Saccharomyces cerevisiae S288C: one gene and its partner. The gene in region 2 interacts genetically with the main gene of each other region. Each region holds a gene or a part of one and is shown on either strand. Other genes may lie near its edges.

Region 1 (5,784 bases), on a different chromosome or scaffold from region 2:
ATTCTTCTTCCACACCGTTCTGTAACCTCACTTTTTTGATTACTTTAGGGAATCTTTTCTTGACGGTTTCTTGATCGAGTTCAGTACCGTAAGTTTCTTCATAGTCTTTTAGCGCTTCCAAAATAGACAGTCTCCCTTGTTTATCATCCTTCTCCTTGAAAAAAACTATCGCCTCTTCAAAAACTTTTCTTGCCTCCAATTTATTCTCATCGGTAATTTCAAACTCTATGTCTTCATCCACATTTTCGCTTTGCAGTTTTGCTAAATCTAATAGTTGTTGCTCCGTCGGGGTTGAAGTTTGATACATGGCGAATTCGATCCAGCTTTGGGGGGAATATTGGTTGAGCTCCAAATATCTTCTATAAAGCTTCCTTGCCTTTTCAAATTCTTGTGATTCTGTCTCAAATGTTATGTATTTTTGAAGTAATACAATTTTAGCCTCCTTTGTTAAGAAATCAGAATTTTCATCTAGTGCAATTGTATATATACCTCTTACTCTATCCCAATCTCCTAAATTTTCTTCTAGTTCTCCATATTGTGACCAAATTTGTAGATCAGAGGGCTGAAATTCAATAAATTTCTCATATATTTTTCTCACACGATCAAATTCCTTCAACTTCACTTCCAACTCGATATATCCTTTGAAAGTTTTAGCCTTAGGACATAAACCGATTGCTTTACCCAAAATTTTTCTCGCCTTCGGTACATCATCATGTCGTATCAGAAATTTAGCATACATTAGCCATATTTTGGAAAAAGTGAAATGTTTATGAGGGATGATGTCGTCAATTAACCTCTGAAAAAGTTCTTCTTCTAAAAGCGAATTTTCCAATTCTAACTCAACATAGCATATATATCTCATCCACAGATAAATATACCTTTTCCACTGAACATTTTTTGATAGTTCTTTTGGTCGGCTGTCCACAATAGCTTTCTCGAAAGTTTGCATTATTTGTTTGGGGAAACTTTCTGAAATGAGATCCAAGTACAGCCACCAGGTGTCATAATCATAGGCGTTATTACTCAATATTGTTTCATACTCCATTTTCCTTTTATAGCTAATAGTTTCTTCTATTGAGTTTATGTCACCAAACTGCTTTTCAAAATCCAACAGTCCTGCCTTGAGCAATTGATTGGAGGGCCATTTTTCTATAGCAATTTGATAAAGAGCACTAGATCTTTCGTATTCTTGCTGCGCAGCTTCCCAATGAGCAAATGAATTTACTAATTTTGCAACCTCCATATCAGACCAAATCTGTAAATTTTGGAGGTTAGCTACTGTGTCTATCGCTAAAGAATACACACTTCTCGTAAATTCAGTATTACCATGTCTATTTTCAAACCTCACCCACTTTAGCCATGTCTGCATTTGCGGGTGAGCCATGACGTATTTTGAGTAAATCTCTCTTACACCGTTCCAGTTTTTCTGTCTTATTTCAAAATCCACGAAAGAATTCCATGCATTAACCCCTGGCTCCAAGGAGCACCATTTGGTGTACAGTGATCGTACAATTTCAACGTTGTTTAACGACTCTTCGACAATGAGATACTTGTACCATAACTTGTCTACTCTGGGCAACGTACTAATAGCTCTGTTCATAAGATTCCTAGCATGGTTAATACATTTGACTTTCAGCTCAGCATCAATGTATCGTATCCAAAGGGGGATGAATGAACTATCTACTAATAATGCTCTTTCAAAGATAGATCTGGCGCGCCTCATGTCGTGTTGTTCGATTTCGAATTGCGCATAACGAATCCATTGTCCCATATCCAGTCGGTTTCTCTTCAAATAACCCTCATATTCTGTTCTCTTCCTTCGTTGATACTCTCGAAGTTCCTCCAAGTCTAATATATCAATATTAGTCGATCCTCTTGCTTTTTGCCCCTTCTTGTACACATCCCGCAGAATCTGCTCCGCAGAAACATGCGTATCAACGGCTGTTGGCTCTAAAGTGTCCATGCTGGCAATAGTAGAGTACTTTTAGCTCAAGTTTGTCTATCTATTATGAACTTGCATAATCAATGAGTCTCATCACCCCAACTATTTGGCACCAAGGTTTTTAATTTTCTATCGCGTCTTACGGATGTATATAAATTATTTAACCAAGTATAATAGCGGTTAAATTGAACTCGCAATATTAGGAAAAGAGCTATGATGATAAGCTCTTCTTGATAAATGAAGCCAAGTCTTCTAATTCATCTGGAACTGTAGAATGGGCCATACCTTTGTATACTTTAAATTCATAATTTTGTATCTCACAGCTATCTTGATAGAACTGTTTTGCCTTTATACCTAGTCCAATAGGAACTACTGGATCCATGTCACCATGCCCATGAAAAATTGGTGTCTTTACATTAATGCCATTCTTATGTTGTTTCAGAATTCCTGGGATGGAACAAAATCCCGACAGAGCTACTATACCACCGATTTTCCATGGTAAAGTAACTGATGTTGCGAGAGCTAATGCGGCACCCTGAGAGAAACCTCCGATAATAATCTGCTCCGGTTTAATTCCTTTATCAATTTCTTGCTTAACCGTCTTTTCTATGGAATTCAAAGAATTCATAAAACCGTCACTGTCAACTTTGGAAAAACTAGGATCCCATTCCAAGATGTCAAACCAAGCAGGCATCAATGCACCGCCGTTTGCTGTCACATGAAGCTCTGGAGCATTAGGAAAAACAAAATTAGTATGCTGGAAAGCGGCAGGGTCTCTCTGTTGTAAATACTGAGCTAAAAATCCCCATCCCGAACCTGTATCACCTAATCCATGCAAGAATATGATAGTTTGGCGTGCTGGCTGAATTTTTGCTGCAACTCTAAGTCCATTCATATTCGATAGCGCTCAAATGGGCAAATATAGTGTATGTGTTCTTATTTTCGTTCTCTTTTGCTAACATTTTTATTTCATACAGAAGCCATTTTTCCCTAGAATAGGCGTTCTGAAAAGAAGGAAATATGAAAGTAAAGGCTACAAAACTAAGGATAAAACAACGAAGGAAAAATAAGGGGCTCAATATAAGCAGATTAGATATTATCAGAGCAGAAATGGATGTGGTACCATCTCCGGGTTTACCAGAAAAAGTAAACGAAAAAAGCAAAAATATTCCCTTACCTGAAGGAATTAACCTTTTATCATCAAAGGAGATAATCGATCTAATTCAAACCCACAGACACCAATTAGAGTTATACGTCACAAAATTCAATCCCTTAACGGACTTTGCTGGAAAGATTCATGCATTCAGAGATCAATTTAAACAATTGGAAGAAAATTTTGAAGATTTACATGAGCAAAAAGATAAGGTCCAAGCCTTATTAGAAAACTGTAGGATTTTAGAATCCAAATATGTAGCTAGCTGGCAAGATTACCATTCCGAATTTTCAAAAAAATATGGTGACATAGCATTAAAAAAGAAATTAGAACAAAACACAAAGAAACTTGATGAGGAGAGTTCACAGCTAGAAACTACCACAAGGTCCATTGACTCAGCCGATGACCTGGATCAGTTCATCAAAAATTATCTGGACATACGAACACAATATCACTTGAGGAGAGAGAAACTGGCGACCTGGGATAAACAAGGTAATTTGAAATACTAGTTCAGCAGCTACCGCCATTATCAATATGTACGTATATAGACTATACTTTATAGATTATTCTAGATGCCAAACGAATTATTAGAATATTAAAGCCTTTGATTATAGGCCATATCCCAGGTAAATAGTATACTAGGAATGAGAAAAAAAAATGTGAATAAATGGTAACCTATTCTTAGTGGGTAAGATAAACTATTGTGAAGTAAAAATGAAGACCGCCAACGTAACAATAAAAAATTAATAATAAAAAAAAACTTTGCCCAAGCGAGAGCAACGATTTCCGCCAGAAACTCCAACTGGCTTGGAGATGTGAATGTCTAAACTTTGTGCAACGGTTTTCAGATGAATGCAAAAAGAAGAGAAATTAATGTGAGGGGTAAAGATGGAACTATATGATCACCAACATTTCTTTTACTTGATGTAGAAGTGGCGGATGCAGTACTGGTCGTCAGGTTACCGCTAAAGGAAGCAGTTTGTGAGGAATTTACAGTAAATATGTTACCACCGGTAACAATAGATGCACTTGTGGACCAAGTGTTTGTATAGCCTGGTGCCTTTACGGCGCTTGGAACAGAGGATGTAATAATTTCGATATTTTCGCTTGTGGTATTATAGCGAGCTTGTGCCATGGATATTTCAAGATTCTCCAAATCATAAACCACGTACGCGTTAGTCAAAAATGAATCACCCAAAATGGTACCTGTGTCATCACTCGTTGGGATAATACCTAAAAGACATGTAGTGCCAGTACTCAAGATAAAACTCGAAAGTGGTGCATTGATGTGAAAACCACCAAAATCGAACACTATTTCCATACTATCATCAGATGGACAGTCCAATACGTAATACCCTATCCTGGAAGAGTATTGCGCACCTAGTTCAGTAGCGATCATACTTACCACTGTTTGAGGTAAATAAGTCAAAGTAGTACCGGAATCCAACAAAGCAGGTATTTTAGTGGTAGTCAAGGTCTTGTTACTACTCCCAGAATCACTAATACCGATACCATTAATAGTGACATCAAATTGAATGGGAGAGCTAAATCCACTAGCACTCAGAGTGTTTACGATGGGGATTGTGTATAAGGTGCCGGTATATTTACTGTGGTCCACGGCTCCGAACAAAATGGTGCCATGCATAGCGTCCGAGTCGTTCAAATACAAAGAATATGTGTTGCTTTTGATAGCACCAGAATTTTTCAATACAATGGGGAAGTTGTCGTATTTATAAGCTTTTCCACTATGAGACGCAGTAGAGCCAGAATAAGTGACTTCTAATTCGGGCAAACCAATACCTAACACACCCATAGTAGAATTCGTTTCATTGGCAACGGCAAAAGACAACCCGGTAACGTTCAAGTCGCTTAAATCCAAAACATCCGTACCAAAAGTACCGGAGGCAAAAGTCCCATCACCGTAGCTAATACTGAAATAGGTGTTGTTTGATCTAAATGTAGAAGAGCCCGAAGTGGAAAATGTCCCGTATTGTTGACAGTCCATGGTGGCTTCCGAAGCAGGCACGGATTGAGTTGCCGTACCTGAACCGCCTCCTAAGCCCGTAGCAGTGGGGCCAATGGCACTGCCCGTTCCCGTCAACCAGCCAAATGGGTTTATATCATTAATCAAAGATCCGCCGCTTGACGAATCATCACGTTTGTCAATAACACGTCTCCGGCTACTACCCATACTGTTCGAAGAACAGTATGGATTATCCGAGCCCATAATCCATAGATCAGAGGAGCCTGTGTCCACCAGGACCGTTACGTTCTGTGGTGGCGTGCCCACTTCCAAGTCCACCGAATAGAAACTTTGCTGGTTGGTAATTATAATTTCTTCATAACCGTCAGCCCTCTTCAATAGGCGTACTTCCGGTTTTTTGTCGCTTCCCACATTTTCTAGCGAGTCCCCGTAAAGCTTATGAAAGGGCAACTTGACGAACTTGGAATTCGAGTCGTCGTCGCGCTTGTTTGCTGCTGGTATTATCTTACCGAGAACCTGCGATGCAAAGAGTGACGAAAGGACCGCAGATCTTACAGTTTTCAGTTTCATATGTGGTAGGTAATATTATACTATATGCTTGGTGTTCACCTTATCTTTTTATTACGCTATGTATTTTAATATACAGAAAAGCCAATTGCGTTCTTCTTAATAACCGTCCAATTGCGGAAATAGGAACAAATGCAA
Region 2 (5,886 bases):
ATAAGTTAGCAAGAAGCTTTTAAAAACATAGACTTAGAAATTGTCCTGCACTTGGCAAGGAAGAAAAGAAAGATTAGTTAAACAGAAATCGAAAAATGCATGATGAAAAACTAAGTAGACCTCTTTAGAAGTGTCTTAGCGGCTATTGTTCATGATACTTTTGAAAAGAGCCCTGAGATTTTCCATTACCATCAACAGGACCAATGAATAGCTAAAAGAATCGAATGTATCTATCGGAAAGGATTTGAAATTTCGGCCATTTCCTCATTATGAAGTTCAACTTCCATACTCTCGTCGTCGCCATCATTTTCATTATCCTGGTTGTCGTCATCGTCATCTTCTCCGGGCATGTCATTAGCATCTATATAAGGAACCTGTTTCTTAGACAAATTCTCTTTTATCTGTAGTGAGCGTATGACGACCGAGACAATTCCGCTTGATATTGCCGTAGCCAAGAGGGCGTAGCAACCTCTCTCAAACTTGGGCACCATATCTGAAGCAAAGAATAATATAGACCACCATGCGTTAACGGCCCCTGAAAACATATTCATGGAAGCAAGAACGATAGCACGTTCTTGAAGATCTGCATGACAAATAATGTTTGCCCACGAAAAAAAAACCGCTTGTCCAGCGTATGCTACGCCTCCAAGATACTGTGCAGAAAAGACGACTTTTGGATTTAGTGGGTCTGCACGTATTAGTACCGCAACAATAACCATTACCAATGATATGAAAACAGAAACATGCCAATGCCTAGCTCTTGGGATCTTACTCATATATACAGCAGAACAAAGCGTAGAAACTATACCTACGGCAAATATCCCCGAAGGATAATTATTTCTTTGCGCCAACGTATATTTTTGGTTTTGTAACCATAATGCAAATGTAGAATTAGATGCGAAACCCAAGTTCTCACCTCCCAGAACCCAAACAAGAGAGAACATCCACCAGTGCCACCTTTTTAAGACTCTAGGAATAGTCGACCAGTCTAACCGGGTGCTTTCGTCCCTAGCGGGGAGCCTTCTCCTAGCATAATGTAGCTCTTGTTCATTAAAAATGTATCTCGTCATAGAAAATTTGCTAACAGCACTTGTTTGATCAGGAAGGCCGGGGAAGAAAATAAACCCATAAATTGCAATGGGTAATGTGATACAAAAATCAATAATGAATAACCATCTCCAACCCGCCAAGCCATTCCGCCCATTCAAATGAGTAAAGATACTTGTTTGCATAAATCCACTGAACATAGATCCCACCAAACCGCTACCTGTAAAAATAGCACTTCTAATGGGCAATTCGTCTTCTTTATACCACGAACCCAAAACAAAATGTGTTCCTGAAAATGTGCAACTCTCAAATAAGGCTTGAAAGAATCTAATTGCGCAAATATGTTTGAACGATGTAACTTTGTACATTCCCAAGGTCAATAAACCCCAAGCAAACGTACAAAAACTTAGCCATATCCTGGGCGGAACACACAATAACATTAAATTATTGGGGACCATACCTACAATGTAACCAATCATGAAAACTGTGTTAGACACGGTCAAATCGTTTCCGACCATCTTAAGATCTTCCTTCATACCGGATATATATGCATTGGTGAAACCGACACGGTCGACATAATTAATCCAGTATTGCAAGCAAACAAATGATAGCACAAACAAGTCTATTTTAAACAGAAGTAATCTCTTTTTAATGGCACGCTTGGAAGAAACAGATTCTCTCTCAACCTCATGTTGAGTGATAGATTTCGATTCCTTCATCATGACTTAGGCCCAGGCTCTCTCCAATCAAAAATTCTGAAAACAGCTTCTCAATCTTGAATAAATCGGAATACTTTTATATCAGAATTACAGGTCCGCCTCATTTCTCTTAAGAGCCGATGTCTTCCTTTACAATATACGCATGTAGAAGATTTGATCGATGCTGAGTTCTTGTAATTCGTCAAAAATGCCTTTCAAGATCGACTACTCAAAATCTACAATAATCGGACTGCATGGATCAATGGAGGTGTAGGCAATTTTGTAACAATGAAGGATATGTTAAATTCGCTAAAGCTTCCTCCTCTTTTGCTAAATTTCATCATCAAAAAGCATTTTGCATAACACACGTTAACCAATATATTATAGTATATATACATTCTATTTGAGAATAAGCATAGTTTTACATAACTAGTTCGTTATTCCAAATGTATTTTTCCTATTTGCCATAAATATTTTAAGTAAAAGAAAGCATGCTCTAGATAAAAAATATCGAGGAAGAGTCGAAATAAGCAAGCGTAAATATTACAATTATTCTGAAGAAGCAGCATTTTCTTGGCCCTCAGCATCTTCTAATTTCTTCCCATTCTTCAATAAATTAATGTCCTTTTGAACTAAGCTCAAAGTAGTACCCTTAGAACCGTCGTCTCTCTCGAAGACATAGTTAGCAGCATCTGCTTCAACATATACCAAAGCGCTGAATAAATTATGGAAAGGAAATGTTAGTAAATTATAACGCGTAATTGTAAAGTAAGTAAAATTGAAGAATAAATAACATACCCTTTTCTAACATATTCTGTCAAAAAATTGATTTGAGGTTCATTGAAAACGGTGATATTATACCAATTGGTTTGGCCATCTCTTCTTGGTTGCGAAGCGATACTATATTTCAAATAACGATTGTTATTAGCAGAAGTATGTTCAGTGAATTCAGAGCCAATGCGGCCGACGATGGACATTTTCGAGAAGTCCATCTTCTTGGTAGTAGCATGGAAGAAACGAGCTTGAGTACGTAAAAACATTACAATGGATTAGTGGATTTTTGTTTGTTTTGTATTTGTCAAGGACACACAATTAGCAAATGACTTGTTATCAAATTCGTGGTATTTGTCTTTCTCAACTACTGTGTTAGCTTTTTTTTTTTCGTCTGGGCGCAAACGCCTTTTAAGCACTCCTCCACAAATAATAAGTATTAGATGAAAAGTCCTAAAAGTCCGAAAAATGGAATAGAAAAGAACGAAAATACAGAATCTTTACAGAACATTATAGTACATAAGTGTAGTTCTACGTAAGTCTTAAACAAAGGTTTCAAAAGGAAAATATGATTTAGCGGCGCCACCTCCATAAATTATGGATTAGCAAACAAAAGAACAATTAATATTGAAAAATAGAAGCATAGCAGAAATATCAAGCGAGACCATGGTAGTTACCAGTGGTCAAAGTTCTTTTTGTGTTTACATCGAGCCACTCACCACCAAATGGATTGTTTTCATCCAGCTCCTGACAAGTCAAGGTGATTCCACTGCCGGCTCCGCTATGGGGTAGAGCCACGTTATCCGTCTCACTGATAGTGAATTTGGTAATCACGCCTTTAGCGGATTCATGTGCCAGGCCGTCTGTAATAAATCTGGCGATTAATCTTTGACCTTCACCATTTCTTGTCAAAACAACTGGTTCTTTAAATCTCCACGTTATTCTCTTCTTTTCTTTACTGAAGGAGCCCTGAGGTTTTGATAAAGCGCTTGTTGCATTAGCACCATCGATATTCACAAAGACAACGAGGTCTTCTATTACGATTTGTGATATTTCATCGGGTAAGCTTGGTGACATCTTGACAGTCAATACAACACTTGCCTGGTGAGATTCAAATCTCCAGACCGGATGAATAACAATAGGCGCGATCGGCTCCTTTATGGAATATTTAATAGCTCCTAAGGTTCTAGAATCGATAAATGAAGGGTTAACTTTGAATTCTTCTGGAGCAACACGCTCAATAAAGGCTTGGTTCAGAATGACCTTTTCGAACTTAGCGCCATTATTGATTCTCAAATTAATACCGATAGGTAAAGGCGAATTCATGACAGAATTGGGTAAATAGTTGAGGGCAATTTCCCCAATCAGTTGGGAGTTCTGCAACATACCGTCTTTGAAAGAAGCATTGAGCACTTCTGCGATACTAGCATTCAACCCAAATTGAGATGTATCTAAAGAGGAGTGCTGAAACAACGATTGACCAACTAAAGATGTTGAAGAGCCCGTGGCTTGAGGATTTAGTTCTCTTAGCTCGCCAGTAATCTGAGAGGAGAGTGTGGAAACTGGACGTTCCTGGGGAATAGAGGACAAGGAAGAAGAAGTAGGGGTAGCGCCTGAGCCGTGATTAGGCAAAGAGTCATAGAGTTGAGAATCCCTGTTATGAATGAAATTTTGTTTCCTTGAGGGTGGTAAAGCAGGTGCGCGGATATGCAAGGGCCTTGAATCAACTTGACCTGAAGGTTGGTTATCAACCGTAGCAGTAGGAAGTGAAATACTGGGAGAGGCAGGCTCAACTGGTAATGGTTTTGTTTTTGATTGTGGCTGAAGTGGAGGTTGAGAAATTGATATCGGTACTGTCTTGGGTAAGTTACTTGAGTCTGGTTCTTTCGCAGTGGGTGGAGAACTTTGTTGTGGCGTTGAAGGAGGCACTTCAGAAGGAGTAAAAGTTTGCGCAGGTGGTGTATCGGCAGTAACAGGTGCATCTACGTTTTTAGGAGTAGCATGGGGAGGAAGAGGAGGAGTGTCACTAGCTTCACCCGGGGTCCAATTGTTTGATTTTGATGATGAATAGGTGGGTCGACGTTGCTTCTGATAAATAGAAGAAGTTGCAGTTGAAGACACTCTGGTGGAAGAATTATTCGGAGTCTCAGTGATGGATGCCTGAATATGAGAGTTTGATGATGATTGTTGTTGTCTCTTGTTCTTGGTCTTATTTCTACCGAAAATTGAGCCCACTTTAGATCTTAGGGTGTGGGACGACTTTTTTGATTTCAAGGAAGAATTATTAGTAGAGTCTGAAAATTCGTTATTCATGAGATCATTATGAGTGAGACTGGAAGATGCAGAGGCAAGACGATGTCCAATGTTTCCAAATGCACTCTTACGCTTATCCTTTTGTGGGGATTTCTTTTCTCTTTCCGTATTAGCGGCACCATTGGATACAGAGACCGGGCGGGCACCAGTGGCAGAAGCTGGCGAAGCATTATTAGGAACTACTTCTTTGGAAGAAGAGGATAGTTGGAAGTTGTATTGACTGGCATCTTTGGCAAAACGATCAATTTCACTTTGCGGTTCGAATGCCAGGAATTTCGTCATCACCGTTTCGCATTCTTTGGTAGTATTTAGTAAATAATCGCTAAAACTGGTTTGAAATCTAAGCATACAGTTTTTTAAAGTGTCCAAACGGTTATAGTCAATAGTCTCGAACAGCTCAAACAAATAGGGGCTTTGCTGGTCCCATTGCCTTCTTGCCTCTTCTAAGTGACTAGAGTTTTCGTTATTCTTACTATAGTGCTCAATTGAAGCTGCATTTTTACTAAGCTTGGAATGTAAGTCCTTGCTTTCTCTCCAGCTAGTATTGTTCTCCACGGATTCCTTCAATTCACGAACGACTTGCTGGTCCAAAGTGTTGTAGTATTCTGTACTTGACTTCAAATCTGATTTTAGTTCTTCAATTACAGTATCCCATACATTTCTTAGCTCTCCCAGCGAGTTGAATCTGAATGCACTCATTTCCTGCGGAGTCAAAACATTACTTTCAATCATTTGAGCGTTTAAGATCTTTGTTATATCTTCATTTTCAGCTATTATTTTTCTCAATTGCTGAGCATAGTTCCTCTTCAGATTTGCCAATTCCTTAAATAACAGGTAAAAGTCTTTATTCAACAATTTGACCTGCGATAACCTGATTCTAATAGTTTCGGTAGCCTCGTAAGGACTCTTAGTAGTCAATATGCTATCTGCATATTTGGTTCTTTGTTCCGTCATGAGAGGTGATTATTCGCAATTTTCAAATAAGCTTGCTTCAATACGACTACAGCAAAAGTAATTCCTTTATTAAGGCAATAACTACGAGACCTTTTCTTTGTAT

What was found. A genetic interaction does not mean that the proteins touch.
Region 1: mutations in RIM1 (region 2) and TML25 together harm fitness more than expected from each alone (negative genetic interaction), as found in Saccharomyces cerevisiae (2 studies listed by BioGRID).

The regions. Positions count from the first base shown.
Region 1 is NC_001144.5:382,572-388,355, forward strand, and holds TML25 (palmitoyl-(protein) hydrolase), read right to left. Parts: upstream 2,838-5,784; coding exon 2,154-2,837; downstream 1-2,153. Other genes in the region: CLF1 (Clf1p), read right to left, coding at 1-1,963; ESCRT-I subunit protein SRN2, read left to right, coding at 2,963-3,604; YPS1 (aspartyl protease), read right to left, coding at 3,940-5,649. UniProt on the Saccharomyces cerevisiae protein: Hydrolyzes fatty acids from S-acylated cysteine residues in proteins with a strong preference for palmitoylated G-alpha proteins over other acyl substrates.
Region 2 is NC_001135.5:170,656-176,541, forward strand, and holds RIM1 (Rim1p), read right to left. Parts: upstream 2,786-5,886; coding exon 2,544-2,785; intron 2,461-2,543; coding exon 2,295-2,460; downstream 1-2,294. Other genes in the region: FEN2 (Fen2p), read right to left, coding at 231-1,769; SYP1 (Syp1p), read right to left, coding at 3,171-5,783. UniProt on the Saccharomyces cerevisiae protein: This protein binds preferentially and cooperatively to single-stranded DNA (ssDNS). Involved in mitochondrial DNA replication. Stimulates PIF1 helicase activity.